Linked DNA regions of Arabidopsis thaliana. The protein of the gene in region 1 purifies or fractionates together with the protein of each later gene. This does not show direct contact. Each region holds a gene or a part of one and is shown on either strand. Other genes may lie near its edges.

Region 1 (7,696 bases):
AAGGAAGACTTACATTTTTGAGCATCGAAAAATTGAAGTGCTTTGTGAAGGGCAAGAGTGTAATTATCAGGCGGAGGAGGTGCAGACTTATGACGAGGCAACGACTTGACGATAATGATCGGAAGAGCAACGACGAGAAACAAGACGGCAATAGATCCAACGGTCCACAAGAAAACCGTGCGGCTCACGGAAACACAACCTAGGTTTACATATTTCTTCTTCTTCTTTCTCCAATTATCTTGCGGTGCAAGCAACCAGCCTTGTTGCGTTTCGTCTAATTCACTTCTCTGTGAGTGAATAGCTCCTCTGTCCCACTCCGTCGTGTTCCTCAGCCGTTCTTCCTCCTCTGCCGCAATACGGTCGCTGTCTACGGCGTCTAGCGACCCACCCCATACATTCCCGGGATGCATTTCGAAAGAGCTTGGATGATTAAGGTTTTTTTTGGAGAAGAAATATAGAAAGGATATAAAGAGTTCTTTTTTTCTATGGAAAAAATAAGAAGTCTACTTAATTTTGGTTAATGATCGGTGAGAGGGATTTTATTAAAGAGTGAGTTGACCAAAATTGGGTCTTAGGAAATGGGAACGATGTGTCTATATTGTATATTCTAGTAGAATTGTAATCGAATTTTTTTATATTTATTAGTTTGAAGACTTGTTTCAAATAATTTTAATGTTTTTTTTTGGCAACCAAACATTAATTAAAAAGCAAATAATTTTAGTTTATTGATTTTTTTTTTTGCAATAAGCCTACATCAGATTTTAATTTGAATCGAATATAACTATATGTCCTATGTATTTTTTTGGGGCCTAAAAGAAAAAAATATCAATGTTTTGGTAAATGACATGGTTATAGCTTGGTTTCTACGTTCAACAAAACTCGGGCTACTTGTTGTATACCTTGACAAGATTCTACTAAATCTTTTTTCAGACTTCCAGTCAAGTCTTCTAGGGTTCTTAAGTCGGGTTTTTATTTCGGGTTCTGATTGTCTGATTCTAAAGTCTCTTTAGAGTTTGTCATTTGTTTTTGTTGGTGTGATTGACGTCCTCATTCCTAAGTCCGAACACTATGACTCTGATATGTTATTGACAGAGACAGAGAGTGATAATATAGTTTCTGATAGGGAGGATTTGATAAAACAGAGTGATTACATAATGTTTGTGTTGATCCTTCTTAGTTCTTACCGTCTATAGTTTCCCTATTTTTTTAACACGAAATTTCATAGTTTGTGTAACTTGCGGCAGAAAATATAGATAGCTCACATAGCTATGATCTAAATATGAGCATTCGTGTATATGATTTTATGGTAGCTAGCGTTGTTGACAGGCTGCGGTAAATTGGTCTTCGCTAGATGTTGTGAAGCGTATGGAAAATACTATAATGAGCTAATATCTATTGGGCTTTCATTTAGCTTTCGCTATTTATTAATTGGGCTTGGGCCACCCTTCACAAACTGTTTATTTTGTTCCAAGGATTTTTCAGTTGAGAGATTATGTAAGCAAATTTTGTTTTCTTCACGTAACAGAAATTCGATCTAACTTATGTCGAGATGAATTGCTAAAAGAACCATTATCCCAAGTAAAATGTATTAGAAACCTCATACTTGAATGAGGAACCCTAAAATATGTATAGAGGATTGTGATAATGTACTCACTATCAATATAGTCAGTTATAAGTTAGAATTCTGTTAAAAGTGTTAAAATAATGTTTTGTTTCAAATACTTAGTTTATCAAATAAACTTTTTTAATCTTTTTATGTCACCATGAGTTATCTGAATAAAGATGTTTATATATCCGCAAGACTAGTCAAAAGTGGATAGCTCCATTAACTGTTATAGTGTAACTATTCTAGTGTAACAATTCTTAGAAGTATTTGGTTTTACTATTTTAGTCTTACTTTCTATACTTGATTGTTCAGGTAACATTTTCAAAATTGGAGATGATTTTACTTAATCGTAAACTTATTACTTATATACTAAAAAGCTTGTAAGTAGGGCCCGAAATGTGGAAAACATTGTAATTTAAATCCAAACTAGTTTTAGAAGAAGACGCAATGTATATATAATAATGGAAAAATATGAAAACGATATCAGCCAAACATACTTATTATGAATATTAATTGGAGAGAAGGAGTGTAACCATCCATATGGTGTGAATTCTATGATTTTTGGACCCATTGTTATAAACGAAGGAAGAAGACAAAGAACATGAAGACATGAATAGTTTTATTTCAAAAGTAATGAATAAATATATAAATAAAAGGAATGGTTGTCGTTTGAAAATGGGTACGAGTAAATAGTGTTGCAGACTCTGCTCCAACAGTAATTACAACAATGCAATATGCAACCACGACCCACTTGCTTCTATTCATTTCCCATTCTTGTTCTCTCTCCAAATTGACTAATGTTTTAAATGTTATATGATCATGATAACCATTCTTTTTTCTCTTTGCACGCTTCTTCGTTAGGTTAGGTCGTACGTAAAAAGTGATGACCTAATCGTAGAGACCAACTAAATTTCGGTTCTGATTACTTAATCGAGTGTTTAAATTTGCTTAACTTGACATTTGTTACCAAGAAAGGAGAACTAGTAGTGAAAAAAGAGAGTTTAAAACCTTGACAATCGCTTAACCCAAAGTTTTAGAATATTTCTGCTAGTACATAAGGTAAATGTACACATTTATTGTAGTTGTTGTATTGGTTGAATTTGGCTCTGTTGGTTGAGGTTTCAGATTCATAAAAAAAAGTACTGTAGTTACTAGTAAAAATGAACTTGAATTATGGTTGTATTGTTGTTATACAAAAATGGCACACTTTATGAAACCAACTAAAAACAAGTATCCATTTCTGATAATAACATTTTCGAGGATTTTTAAGATATACAACAAAATGCAGAACTATATACAAAGTCTTGTGTCTTGAGAATGTAACTTCAATTATTAACACCAAAATGTCTAAAAACCTAAAGCATCTAAGAAACGGTGCCACTGTCTCTAACCCCTTTCTCAACAGTTCGATACAAAACTTCCATTAATGTTTTTCTATTCCCTTCACATTTGGAAATTCAAACTAAAAATGCATAAACAAAAAATACTATAACCTCATCTTAAAAATTACTAATGTCCCAGTAACATTAATCTCATAGGGTTACTAATCATGGGTTATCTTTTAAACTCCAAAAACAAAGTAGGTATCATTATATAAACAAGTTTCATGGTATATCTCCTAATTTTCCCGTAGAGGAAAGTATGAAGATATATATAGAGAAGAAAGACAGAGTCCGTGATCACTCACTCTCTCTCTATCTCTATATATCGACACACCATAAAAGTTGTTCTTTCTCTCCGTTTCCTTAGCCTCTGCATCTGGGCGATTTTCTCTTTCTATCTCCCTACACCTTAGGGAGTACTGATCCTAAACTCATCATCTTTCTATGCCTTCCTCTTTTCTTTCACTTATTTTCTTTTCTATTTTTTTTCTTTCTTACTTTGCGTAAAACTAGCGAGTCAAAAATAAAGACACTTGCATGATCCTAATATAATATTATATATTGTAATTAGAGAAAGAGAGAGAAGAGAAGAAAGAAAGTGGCAGTAGATTCTTATGGATTTTGGTATAAAGAAACATGAAAAAATGGGTTTGACCGAAGAAACTTTGAGGACGGTAACTTCATTATCAACTTTTCGACTGTATTTATATTTTAGCTTTTGTCAAACCGTATCATATAATATTAATGCGAATTACTAGTAGAGAGTATAATAATAGTAATAACAAAATGCTTGGTTACTGTATGTAAATCCCTAGACAAAAAGAATAAGAATAAAAAGAGCAAAATTCTTCATCCCAAGATCCATCAGGAGAGTCAGAGTCAGACCCCATCTCTCATTTCCCATCTCTCCTTTTCACATTTATTTCCTTTTTTTTCTTTCTAGATACTTTTTTATTTTGAAATTTAATACTAATAACTATACATTTATTGTTATTATTGTTGTTAGAGTCTATGCTAGGGTCCAAGGGTTCATCCCAATATCCCTTCTTCTCCTTAGAAACTCGCAACTTCTTCACATGGAAATCAATTCCCTCTAGTACCAAATCCTATTACTATTGAAGGTATACTCTATAGTTATTTATTTAGTTAAGTATATATATTAAAAATAAATAACATTAATTAGTACTAGTCTTATCATATTTATTAGCTCATTTTCTTATAAAATACTAATATAATAGGAAATTTAAGCACAAGATGAGCTTTGCCCATCGAGAGCCTCAAAACCCAAAAGTCTCTTCTTCTTCACGAGATCCAATCTTTTGCTTTTTAGTAATTAATTACATCTTCTTCCTTCTCTTCTCTCTTCTTCTTCCCTCTCTCATACCTACCTATAAGCAACACAAAGAACACCATTGATCCCATCTGTTTTGTTCCCTATATTTCGTTAATCCATCCATACGCATTCCAACTACACGGTACAAATTTCCATCTCTTTTTAATTTGTTTTTATAATGATTTTAAATCTCTCAGGTTGTCTCTAGACTCTTAGGTCTAGTTACCAAAATTTGACTAGCAATCATATAGCTACAAGTTCCTCTATATCATATAGCTACACATATCTCTAGGTCTGAAATGATCTTTTATCTCCCAAGCATATATTATATATTTGGATGCATACCTTTATGTTTGACTTTCGAAAAGCACCTTCATGTTACTCATTTTTTCCTCTATTTGCTTTCAACAGTTGACAAGAAGGTTGGATCAGTATATATAAGTATACATATACACTTATGTGTGTGTGTAGTGTATGTGCATATATAGCTCACCAAATATCTTTAATACTACTAATTGCAAAGTTTCTCTTATTTTACAGCTTTTTGTATGCAACCCCAAATAGCAGCTTAAAGAAAGCAGAGAGGATCTTCTTTTATTTCCCCTCTGAGCAACAGAAGCCATTATTCAAAGAAAGGCTTCTTTAATTTACTCGCAGGTAAAAGCTTTCTTATTCTATAGAGATTGAACAACTTTTTTTTTTTTTTAATTGACAACAATAAAGATTGAGCAACTTCTCTACATTATTTCTTTCTTTATTTTCTCACTTAATTTCATATTTGATTACAAAAACAGATAATGTAATATCTCCAAAATCACAATTGATTTCATAATATCTTTTTTTGTTTCCTTATACCTTCTACCTCCAAAAACTAAATTCAAAAACCCTTATTTCTCTCAATTTTCAATGGCGGCTTTGTGTAGGGAGAGGGAAAAGAGAAAAAATTGAAAAACTCCATTTTCAAGTCATTAAAATGGCATCTTCTTCAACAAACTCACCATGCGCCGCTTGCAAATTCCTCCGGCGAAAATGTCAACCGGAATGTGTATTCGCGCCCTATTTCCCACCGGACCAGCCACAAAAATTCGCAAACGTTCACAAAGTGTTTGGAGCAAGTAACGTGACAAAGCTCCTCAACGAGCTTCACCCTTCACAACGTGAAGACGCAGTGAACTCTTTGGCCTATGAAGCCGACATGCGCCTCCGTGACCCTGTCTACGGCTGCGTCGGCGTCATCTCTCTCCTCCAACATCAGCTTCGTCAGCTTCAGATAGATCTCAGCTGTGCTAAATCTGAGCTCTCTAAGTACCAAAGCCTCGGTATCCTCGCCGCCACTCATCAGAGTCTTGGCATCAACTTACTCGCCGGAGCAGCAGATGGAACAGCCACCGCCGTGAGAGACCACTATCACCACCACCAGTTTTTTCCTAGAGAACAAATGTTTGGTGGCTTGGATGTTCCGGCCGGTAACAACTACGACGGTGGGATTCTTGCCATTGGACAGATCACTCAGTTTCAGCAGCCGAGAGCCGCCGCTGGAGATGATGGTCGCCGTACTGTTGATCCGTCTTGAGATTTTAGGGTTTTGGTGGTGTTCATCTTCGTCGATCGCTTGGTGATGAGAAAACTATAATTTTAAGAAAATATTTGATGTGGAAAACCAAAATATTTTAAACGTATGGTACGTCTCTCTTAATGACATTAATTTCGGTTTTTATTATTATTATTACTTAGATATATTATGATAGTCACTTTTGTATTTCTTTCAAATTTTATGGACTTGCTCTCTTAATTGATATCACATACTTGCATTATAGAGTATATTATTTCCAAATATGTCGAGTCTATTGATCCGCATATGTACCTCCAGCAAGAATATAGACCTAAATTCAGTTAATCATTGAGTGATTTTAATGGTTAATGTTAGACTTCTTAAGTATTTAAAAAACATTATTAGTAAAAATTATGAATATGAAATATAGTGTATACCATGTAGATAAATGTATTATAGTGTTTTCCTTTTATTTTTTTTGTAGTTCAAATTTTAAAATTAAATAATAAAGGAAAACTATTAAAAACATTTAAAATTGACATATTTATATAAATGATATTTGCAAGAAAAGAGGTTTGATGTGGAACACTGTCAGCGTCAAGGATAAGATTTGATGTAAGAAGAGGCTTAACGGAATATAACATGAACATGAAACATCTTATCTCCGGGCGAATTATACCCACTAGCTCTTTCTAGGCTTTCTCTCTAATTAAAAAGTCTCCTTCATCTATTTATGATGACTCTATTTATTGTTGTTGTAAATACTAATTGTCACATCAACTAATTTAGTTTTTTTTGATAAAGTTACTAGTTCCTTATTTTACTATTTGGGTATAGTAATATGCAAAATCTCAATTAAATTACTGGTGCTATTACTCTATATGCAAGTTGAAAATTCACAGAAAAAGTTAGTGATATAGAGGGCGCCTTTCACAAAACCTACAAACATATATTAGTGAAAAGAATTTTAATAAACAGATATGATCAGTTATTTTCAAAAACTAAAAAATTACAAAAAAAAATTACAAAGACCTCTGAATATATACCCATCAACGAAGATTTTCAGAAGATAAAACTAAATTAGTATCTTGTAAATACAAAAAATAATAATTTTCAGCATACTTTGTAAAATACTAGCTATGATTGGTAACATTTCGTAATCCCCCAGATGCTATAAATAAAACTAACTTATGTGGTGGGATGAAACTTTGTGAGTTAAACGTTTCTTAATGAATTATGGAAAATGAACTAATAAGCTGATTGAAATCAAAGTAAAAACCTTGTTTAAAGATAGTTTCTTTCTTTTTCTCTGATTGCTTTAAAAAGAAGGAAACTTGTTTAGTTAAAGACGCGTTTTTTTTTCTTCGTCTTGCGTTTCACAATGCAACTGTATCTAGTCAATTCAATTGCATTATTATTGTCAACTAGTCAATCGCATTTAAGATACATAACAATGATGATTATAGTATCTATATTTACACTTTTATTGATTTATTCATTAATTAAAGATATTTAATGACAAGTATCGACACAATTCCCAGTGTTGACCAAAATCCCCCAAATTTTCAGAGTACTTTTGAAGAAACCCTAAAGTAAAGGATTGTCAATATGGTTTGCTCGCTTTGCATCTGTCGCCCGCACGGTTGCATCATCTATTTTCTTTTTACTTTATTACACCATAAATAAATGTAATAAAATTAACCTTTTTTTTAATCTTTCATTCCCTAAAAGGTCTACCAAAGCAGTCCATTGACATCGGAATTCCTATTAGATATTCGATTAATTAAAACCCCTGAGAGCTTCTAACAAGAATTACATCTAAG
Region 2 (9,865 bases), on another chromosome or scaffold:
AGGATTCTTATCCGTGATAATCCTTGCAAAGAGCAAGTTTTTGATGCTATTGTTTCTGCCATGACGGAATTGGCATCAAAGGTATGATCTCTATATGAAATCTATCTGTGTTATAGATAAAAACAAGACTTGGAACAGGATTAAACTTGTGATCTCATGGTATACAGAACTAAGGTTCTACTATTTATTAGCTATCCTTATTACTATAGGAACAATCTCACATTTTACTTTCTTGAAGCTGTAATGGTTCTCTTGTGTTGAGTTCTGCTTTCAACATATGCTATCTGCTGACTGCTGACAGACTAGTTGTATTCTGTGGGCTTTGGCAGTTACAAGTTTCATCTTTGCACATTACATTTCCGTCTGGAGCTGAGTGGGACAAATTGAAAGAGAAAGGCTTCTCACAAAGGATTGGAATGCAGTACCACTGGAAAAATCGTGATTATAAAAAGTAATTGAAGTTAGTTGCCAGTATATTAGTTCTTAACAATGACTGGATTGGAAGTAGTTGCTATTATATTTTGTTCATTTTTTTTTTTATCTCTAATACTTCAGTTTTGACGAGTTCTTGATGGACATGAAGCAAAGCAAAAGGAAAAATATCCGACAGGAACGCAAAAAGGTTTGTTTAGTTTCCTCTTTTCATATCATCCTCATTGTGCAATTTATTCTTGTCTCTTAAGTTTCTTTGCTCATGTGAATAGTAAAATGGAATGGTTACTCTTTTTTTCTTCCCATACAACTTTTGAATTGTGGCCTTATTTCGTTATCCGTTCCTTGTGGCGTTTTTCAAGCACGCTGCTGACTTCTAATGCTCCTTTTCTCTAGTAGATTGGTACCCAGAATTTGAAAATGAGACGGCTACAAGGAGATGATATAAAGGTATGTAACTGAACTGCCACGAGACGAATTTGTTGTAATTGATTATGCCTGGCGGTATCTTTTCATTTTAATGGCTATAAATAATCAACCATGGGATATCAATCTGCTACCAGAGGTTAGAACTGATGGCACATGCTATAAAGGACATTATGGGGCTTTTATATTAATATGTGTCTTAAAAATTTGATTCATCGTTTGTGCCTAATGTTTTTGCAGGCTAGGCACTGGGATTCCTTCTATGATTTCTACAGGAACACAACTGATAACAAGTTTAGTCTTTATCTTTGAGACATTTTTGTTTTTCTTATCATTAGTACACATTATGTGTCTTTGTGCATAATAAACATACTTACATTCAATTACCTGTCATCGTCAAGTGTATGCATTACCTGTGTTTGTCCTTTCACATGCTTAACGATTTCCGGCTAATTTTAGATGGGGCACACCTTATCTCACAAGGGATTTCTTTCACGACATGGCATCGAAGTTGGGAGACAAGGTATTGCTTGTTTTAGCTGAAGAAAACGAGGAACCTGTTGCAGGAGCATTGAATCTCATTGGAGGAGATACTCTATTTGGGAGACTATGGGGATGTCGTCCCGACTCCTATTATCCTAGTCTCCATTTTGAAGCATGCTATTACCAGGTTGGTCTTGTTGTTTCAAAGTCTCAAGAGTTTTCGCCGAGACATACTTGATTAAAACTCACAAACTGATAATGGGATTCATAGGCAATTGAAGCAGCGATAGAGCTTAATCTGAAAACGGTAGAAGCTGGAGCGCAGGGTGAGCATAAGATTCAGCGAGGCTACCTTCCCGTTAAAACATATAGTTGCCATTACATATTCGATGAAGGTTTCAGGCAAGCCATAGACGAGTTTTTAGTGCGCGAATCAAATCAGGTATGTTTTGAAGTTATGGTGTTAAAAGAGTATATAAACATAGCTATGTAATTGGATCATCGACTTAAACAATGTAACTTTGTGCATCGCAGATGGATTATGTCATCAGACTGATGCATGAAGATGGACCCTTCAAAGAGAAAATAGAATAGATGCATTTATATCTTGGTTATCGCAAACATTCTTGTATATCTTAATTCTTAGGTTTATGCGTCAATGTACATTTTAATTTGGCTGCTCATGTTCGTTTTCTGATTTGGTTTTGTTACTTTCTGATCACCAAATGTACACTGACGCCTAATTTAATTTATATAGATTGTGATGTGTGAGGAATACCACATTGATGTCAGCTCCAAAGCTCACCAAGTTTCTCATCTGTAATTTAAAAACTTTAACCCGAGTCTCAGTACAATAAAATGATAATCCAGAAATGTAAAACGAAAAAAGGAAATTTTAATCCAACGAATACAATTTTTCTTTAGACTCAGCAAAATGTATGAATTTGTTTCAATGTGTTCTTCCGTGTGGAGAGTAATGAGGATTAAAGCGTTCTTCCACCTGTAACCAAAGAATTGACAAAAAAATGGTTGTTTCTTTTGTTGCTAAGCAAGCTTCTTGGGTCTACCAACAGAAGGTGTAACATTTTCGTCTTTCTTAGAACCAGGAGCTTCAGGTTTTTTGGCCCAAGCTGGAGCTCGATCTGGCTCATACCGGTAATCGTAAAATAGTTCTTCTCCAGCCAGTATCCTCTCTTTTGCGAAGATCCCCACCCTGTGATCTCCAGCAACCATGATGACCTTGAACAGATACAAAGATTTTGAGGAAAAACAGAACATACCCATCATGCGAAAACCGTATCTTTAACTTGCACTTTTCACATTTTTACCTTTGCGTAACAGTTAGGTTCAGGAGAATGGTTGGCGAATTTCAGTTTATCTCCTTTCCTGTAAGCATCTAGCACAAACTGCAGCACAATCCAAAAACATTTTAAAATTTGAAGACAACCTAGAGACTAGAGAGAAAGAGAGTTGGGACATTTCAAAGCTGCTGAGACGTGCCTGATCGTTTAGATTGAAGAGAAAAGAGCAGTTCTCGCGATCGTATATCTTCCCGCGTTTATCTGCCTCTTTATGTGAGATCAGCTCTCCTGTGTATTCCCCAAGGTATTCATGCTTACTTACACTGTTCTGTAAGAAGGAAAAATAATTGTTCTTAAGGCAAGTTCATACTCTAAACATAGATTAATCTTTGAAGGACTTATCAGTTTAACAAATTTTGAACCTAATATACCTTTAAGAAAGCTCCCCAACCAGAAACATCAGATATTCCAAGTAAAACCTGAAATTAACATAAAAAAGAGGAGGAAATTTAGCCATTTCATGTTTAATCATTTGATTGCAGATCATAGATATTTAGTTAACAAGGCTAAGTATTTACCCTTTGTTGTTGTTTCAGGAGCAATTTCATATTCCTGCACTCATAATTATCGCCTCTTTGGCTTGGGACCCCAAGCGAACCATCCCCACCACTACACATTCAAATTCATTCAGACACAGTATAAGTGCATCTGGAACTACTAAAAAAAAAGTTGCATTTCTTGAGCATTTTCTAAGAAACCAATTAGGATGGATTTGCATCCCCAATAAGACTTACATGACCCAGCAGTTTCTACAAACATCTGGGTCACATTCCCGATCTGCAGCAAAGCATGGACACTGGCGGCTTCGACACTGACTTTTGGCACAATGACAACCTCTAAACCTATTCTTGCAGCTCTTTGGGCAACTACACAGAAAATATAGTTTGTTGGTAATGAGATTCAAAGCTAAGAAATACAGATGTGGATAATCATAGATTACATTACCCGCAGTACTTCTCGCAGCAAGTCCCGTTTAGCAAACAAGGACATTCCTTCCCACAAGCAATTTTGCAGTTACATGGATTAAACTGACGGCAGGGCTGGTCTTTCTTCTCAGTAATTCTTTTCCTAATTGAATGATATGCAGCAGACTTCCAGGTATACTTCAAGCGCCGCACTTTGCCTCTCCTACGTAGAAATCTTGACCTTCTCCTCACTTGGTTATTAACCTGGTTAGTCCAGAAACTAAAGCATTAAATCCGAAGAGAAATAAATCGATTTTATCAGGAATTTGTAAACAAAGTCAAAAAGGTTTAGTGTTAATATACCATATTTCCATTGATATCGAACTTGGAAGAGCCATCAGGATTCAATCCATCACCTCCAAAGAAGGAAGCTTTATTTTCCGAGCACGTCATGTATTGGAAGACCTCCCAACATGATTTGAAACCACTCAAAAGATTTCTAGCAATCAAGCAGCTGCAAAGAAACAAAGAATCCATATGACTATATTCCACAAATTGAAAAACCTGAAGCAGAATGATAATTTAGCAGTAGCTAAATACATCAAAATTACCCACCTATTCATTCCAAAAATCTCAACACCTTTATCAAAAAGGCTTTTCTCAAGTGGTCTCCACAACTTATTTGTAGCCAATCTTCCTCGAGATACAGTTTCACCCATAAACTCTTCTTTCCTTAGACTTTCATCACTACCCGGCGCATCAAGCTCTGACGCAACCTCATTTGACTGGCAAACAGGAACGTCATCCTTCACAGAATTATTGGAGACTTCGGCAGGAGTGCCATTCTTCCTTGACTTCCCGGAGTTCCCAGATTTTACATGCTTCTGAGAAGAGGAAGTAGCATCTTCATTATCTTTATGTTTTGCATCGCTGGGTGAACAACTTCCACTGGCGATGGAATCACTATCCGAGGCTTCTGTCTTCTTCTGCCTCTTCTGAGTCTTACGAGGAACTCGCTCAGCAACTCGGTTTTTGTTCCTCTTACGACCTACTCGTCTCCCACTACCTTTCACCTTTGGCGATGATGAAACTTTATCGGAATTGGTATCCTGCTGTAGTCCATTCTCTGAGTCACTTGTTTCTAGTGCGCACTTTTCATTAGACGATGCACTTTCACTTGGGAAGGTCTTTGGTTTTCTCCCATTAAGTTTGCTGGAGAACTTCGTGGGTGTGGTTTTAGTACCTGCACCATCTGATGAAGTGCCAGTTTTACCTTCAATGGTGCCATATCCCGGAAATCTTCCAGACTTGAGAAGCTGATAAATTGAAAACAACGCTTTTTGTTAAACCAGTCTTTCTAGGAGATGAGCTTAGCAACGAGAAAATAACAAATTTACCGTTTTATAGCAGTTTGCACCACAGGTTAAATTTTCATCTACAGGAGGACACCATGGAGCTGGTTTCTCAGCCTAAAAATCCATAAAATTAGATAAGTAACACTAAAGTTATAGTAAGATTTTTTCGGTTGGCACTAAACTCACCGGAAAAATGAGATCCTGTGAACACCCATGAAGCCGGCAATCAAATACCTGCATAGATGCATACAAAAGTTAAAAAGAGACCAATGTTTGCTCGATCATTAAGCAATAACCCATGAAACATTAGCCTGAGAAAATCAAATGGACTAACAAGGCATCTACGGCAGAACAGGTTATCGAAAGAATCTAATGCTCCTTCCATATCTTTGTTGAGAAGGGAGCTCTCTGCTTGATTATCGCCACTCTCGGATACTTCTTTTTCCTTCATAAGCACTCCATGTCTTGCCTGTATAAGATGGTCGGTGTTCATATCTCTGCAAAAAGCCAATTGGGAAAGGGCTGGAACAATACTAATTGGATTTCCTTAAACAATGCATCCCTCACTCTGTTTTGAAATCCTACAACTGAAGTGCTTGATTCTAAAGAAAATAGCACATGATAGTTCACACAAGCAATAGGCAGAGAAAAAAGTTGTTGATACCTTGATTTCACTAGTACTTCTAGACAAGAAACTTGCTAGTTCCGCCAGGACTGAGTCTGAAAGACCTAGTTGCTCAAGGGTCATGCTGAAGAAACGAAGGGAAATTTAATCCAACAATATAAGTGAGAACAAACCAGCATAACAGTTGACATAGCAGACAAGAGATTCACACTAAGAGACCAAAATGCAAGAATGATTAAACTCCTGCCATTTAATACTAACCGAATAATATAATCTTCAGGCTCCAAAAAATCTCTTTTTTCTTCTTCGTCGTCAATGGCCTCCTCTTCACTATCACTGCAGATAAGCGCTTCCCCGCCAGTTTGATCATAATAAATTCTCCTTCGACCCACTACAGACTGGTCTTCAGTCATTCTTTGATTTCTGCATCATTTCAAGAGTGATTATAACGTTAAGATACTATGCGAGGGGCTTACATTTCAACTTGAATATTTTCAAGTACTCTTGCGACATTAATGTCAACATACCTGTCCAGAAAAACCCATGTGGTATAAGGTGACAAACGTTTGATATCAGGCATTTTGATAGGACGTAAGGAAATTTTGACAGGGACACTAGATCCTTGAACCATTCCTGAACTGGCAGGTCCATCTTCTACATATCTGTTGTTATTACTTTCATCGATTCCGCTTTTCATACCTGGCGAATCTCTTTGCCTCTTAACTAAAAGATCACTGCCATCTTTACAGCTACCTCCTCGTTCCATAGAAGACCTCATAAAACTTTGAGTAATAGCAAACAAATTCTTCTTGTTTTCATCAATCCTTTTCTGGTTACAAACACATCAATTTCTAACAATCAGATTCAGAAACACATAAAACATACAAAAAAAAAACTAAACAAAAATAGCAACCTTTATTGATATACACCTATCAGCTGCAAGCTTCTTCTTTAGCGATTCTATTACTTCTGATACTTCCTTAGAAGCTGGACCTCTCTCCTCCGCCTGAAACATCAAAATGAGGTTCCTTTACACAGTGTTCAATGAGAGAAACTATCAATTGCAGCAAAAATGGTTCCTAAACGAACCCAAAAACAACTTCATATCTCACAATCCAGCAATCTCTAGATCTAAAAACGAGCATATAGAGAAGCTCAAACAAGCCATCGAGTTTCGTTCTCTTCACTCAAACTAAAGCAAATCAAAGTCAATGCCTCAATAGCACAAAGAAAAAAGTTCCATTTTTAGAAAGTAAGAAAAAAAAAAAAAACGATTGACGCACCGGAGAGTCTTTGGGTGGCTCCGATCTGGTGGCCGAAGAAGAAGGCGAAGCTTCTGACGCCATTGTCAAGAAACCAGATCGGAACCGAAACAAATGCGGGTCCGGGTTAAGATCCGGGTCGCGAAATCTGAAATGTTGGAGGAGAGAAGGAATTTGGCGGGTCGTTATAAACCCTAAAAATTTATCTTCAATTTTGTTTTTATTTTGGATCTTTTATCTTCAAATCCAAAAAAAATTTCGTTTTACTTTTAAAGAACATTGTTTACGAATTGGGAAGCGTGTAAATTAGAAACTTTTTCCAATTATTTAAAAAAAAAAAAGTTGGTGGGAAAATAGCGACGTGGCAGCTCGATTTGAATTATCTACTGTACATCTCCGGCGACGGTTTACCGGAATATCACGTAGCTCGAGACAACGAATCTACTAGAGTTCGAGACTGGTTCTATATCAACTGAACAAAACAAACACGAACGTTGCTGGGCTCTGATTTAATGGGCTCTTAAACCCTATTTGTTTGGGCTTTATTTTTTGTTTTTTTTTTCAGCAACAGCTTTTCGAAGTCTCTCTGTAATCTCATCGGACGAGAAACAGTACGGCGATCGGAAAACTCTGAGATGCATCGCGGCGCGGCGGTTTTCGGACGGAAACGTAGACTGATACTTCTCCATGGCAGCAGAAACTTCGCCAGATCCTTTTGCTCTTCTTCTTCACTATCTGGTGAGAGGGATTCACATCTTCGCTATTTCATTTGCAACTTCTGGAAGCTGTGCGATGGCTTGAGATTGGTTTATGATTCTTACGGTGCCGAATTTGAACAATCAGTGAATCGAAGTTAACGATTGATTATGTGCAGAACATGAATGTTTCATTAAGGATATAGCAAAAGCTCAGCCTCCTAAGCATCTGATGCAGCTGCTGAATATATTCACAGCTAGAGGTAAATCAATCTTACACTGACTTGCTGATCGTATTTTCGAAGTTTTTGTTTGTTAACTTGCGGAATGGTGACTTTTGCTTGTGGTAATGACATTGGATCAGGTAAATCCATAGTTTCTCCTGGTGCCAAGCAAGGCTTGTTACCTCTTACTATTCCGTTGGTGAAAATGAGCCCGGGTATGATTCTGGACTTGTACATAAGTTCTTATCTGAGGTTGTAACACTTTCATATTAAGTTTGTATGACTTTCCTTTTTCAGGTTCTTCAATTGCTCTATTACGGTGGCCAACAGCTCCTTCTAGGTTAGATCCTCCTTGCTTTTTTAATATCGTCATGTTTCTCTTCTTTTGTAGCTTATCATTGTTTGTGGTGTTTGCAGTATGGAGATGCCTGTGGTGGAAGTTCAGAAACATGGGGTTTGGTTTCTAGCTAATAATGTAATGAGTCTTTTTATAGCATTACTGATGCGTTAATTTAGGGTTATTTTTGTTGAGTGTTCATTCTCATATCTGACTTCATTGGCCAACATTCAGGTTGATCAGTTCATTCACAGAATATTGGTGGAAGAAGATGTTTCCAAACCCGAAGAATGCAGCCAAGAAATCTTCAATGCTGCTGGTGAAGCTGGGAAGAAACTTTACAGTAAGGGTGACTTTGCCAGTTCAAGACTGATGGATTTAGATGCCTATCTTTTAAGAAAGGTACATATATTGAGCCTGTTAATATCAGAATCTTTTCTGCACATGGATACTGGGATATGATTATTAGCTTTGTAATTCAGGTTGGATTGTTTCCAGATTCTCTTGAACGAAAAGTTATTCGGCATATCGAGAATGGAGACCATGTAAGGCTAGTAATTATATCTATCCTGTTGTAGTTGACGTGTTTTCTCTTTTTAAACTATCTTCACGTGCTAATACAAGGTTTCAGCTTTGGTGGCTACCGAGTTTTATACAAAGAGAGGGAACTTTCCCGGATTTGCCCGGCCATTCGCTTTCAACGCAAAAGTTTTACTGAAGTTCGTATGATCCTTTCTCATCATCCCTCTTTCTCCCTTGTGAACGACCCCCAGGTAAATGCTTACGTCCTTTCTAGAAAACTCTAAGACCTCTATATATTTTGTAGACTTGGGCGTAACTTAGAAGCGAAAGACGCAGCTAGGGGTGCTTTGAAATCTTCGTGGTGGACCTTAGGATGCAGATATGAGGTACAATTCCTTGACTATCGACAAGCAATTTTGGTAATCGAAAAGAGAAGGGAAAAAAGTGTTGAACATATGAAACGGGTTCCCAGGAAATTGCTCAAATAGCAGAGTGGGGAGAAGAGCAAATTGCGCAGTATAAGGAGAGAGTTACAGGAGAAGGAAAACAACGGGATATAGACAGGGGAAAGCCAATGGCTCAGGTTTGTTCTTTGCCTGTATTCATTATCAGATACTCATATCATGCTTATGGATACAAAGGCTTGAAACAAAACTTGTAATTCTCAGGCATCTTTGGACGAGGCTGCGTTCTTACTGAATCTAGCGTCACTTGAAGGGACATGGGACGAATCACTGGAACGGGTTGCTCAGTGCTACAAGGAAGCTGGACTTAACGACATCGCCAAGTTTGTTCTGTACAGAGATTGAGAAGTCTCTTTTAAAGGCCACAATTTGTTCTTTTGAGACCTGAGATGACATTATATCAAATGATCTTATGCATTTAGTGTCTACGTTGAAGATTTACATTAACCCTGCTAAAGATTCATTGGGTCAAGATTACTGATTGTATCCTTTCTGAGACTAAAAGTGGAATAAAGCAGAATGATCATCTTATAGAGTAATACTCTACGTGGAGATTATATATATACTGCCAAAAAAATCTAGAAAATGACAGTTTAGTTTGCATAGTTTGGGTCTTTGGGACCATATAAAGAAACAGGATTAAGGTATTAGATTATAGTCTAGATGACAGATGCCACCATCTTCTTAGTTGGCAAATGGATTAGGGACCTTCTTGCTCTTACCTTTCTTATTTCTCCCCAACAGCTTTCTCCAGAGGCTCTTAACTCCGCCGGT

The links.
Region 2: the proteins of AS2 (region 1) and CLF purify together in Arabidopsis thaliana (affinity purification with western blotting, with the first as the bait; one study listed by BioGRID). This does not show direct contact.

What each region holds. Positions count from the first base shown.
Region 1 is NC_003070.9:24,394,852-24,402,547, forward strand, and holds AS2 (Lateral organ boundaries (LOB) domain family protein), read left to right. Parts: upstream 1-3,291; 5' UTR 3,292-3,662; exon of another isoform or gene 3,663-4,463; intron 4,464-4,466; exon of another isoform or gene 4,467-4,861; 5' UTR 4,862-4,978; intron 4,979-5,244; 5' UTR 5,245-5,294; coding exon 5,295-5,894; 3' UTR 5,895-6,135; downstream 6,136-7,696. Other genes in the region: KOR2 (Six-hairpin glycosidases superfamily protein), read right to left, coding at 14-410. UniProt on the Arabidopsis thaliana protein: Negative regulator of cell proliferation in the adaxial side of leaves. Regulates the formation of a symmetric lamina and the establishment of venation.
Region 2 is NC_003071.7:9,952,638-9,962,502, reverse strand, and holds CLF (SET domain-containing protein), read right to left. Parts: upstream 7,412-9,865; 5' UTR 6,934-7,411; coding exon 6,871-6,933; intron 6,594-6,870; coding exon 6,501-6,593; intron 6,417-6,500; coding exon 6,115-6,416; intron 6,011-6,114; coding exon 5,849-6,010; intron 5,712-5,848; coding exon 5,627-5,711; intron 5,490-5,626; exon of another isoform or gene 5,456-5,489; coding exon of another isoform or gene 5,432-5,455; coding exon 5,297-5,431; intron 5,197-5,296; coding exon 5,149-5,196; intron 5,077-5,148; coding exon 5,005-5,076; intron 4,924-5,004; coding exon 4,223-4,923; intron 4,122-4,222; coding exon 3,971-4,121; intron 3,872-3,970; coding exon 3,648-3,871; intron 3,569-3,647; coding exon 3,437-3,568; intron 3,312-3,436; coding exon 3,221-3,311; intron 3,122-3,220; coding exon 3,074-3,121; intron 2,971-3,073; coding exon 2,842-2,970; intron 2,748-2,841; coding exon 2,670-2,747; intron 2,581-2,669; coding exon 2,386-2,580; 3' UTR 2,117-2,385; downstream 1-2,116. Other genes in the region: AT2G23390 (acyl-CoA), read left to right, coding at 1-81, 330-451, 556-622, 832-882, 1,099-1,151, 1,318-1,528, 1,613-1,783, 1,876-1,935; AT2G23370 (cyclin delta-3), read left to right, coding at 7,485-7,587, 7,724-7,807, 7,909-7,983, 8,066-8,108, 8,186-8,243, 8,340-8,507, 8,588-8,650, 8,730-8,824 and 3 more; AT2G23360 (filament-like protein (DUF869)), read right to left, coding at 9,776-9,865. UniProt on the Arabidopsis thaliana protein: Polycomb group (PcG) protein. Catalytic subunit of some PcG multiprotein complex, which methylates 'Lys-27' of histone H3, leading to transcriptional repression of the affected target genes, mainly abscisic acid (ABA) responsive elements.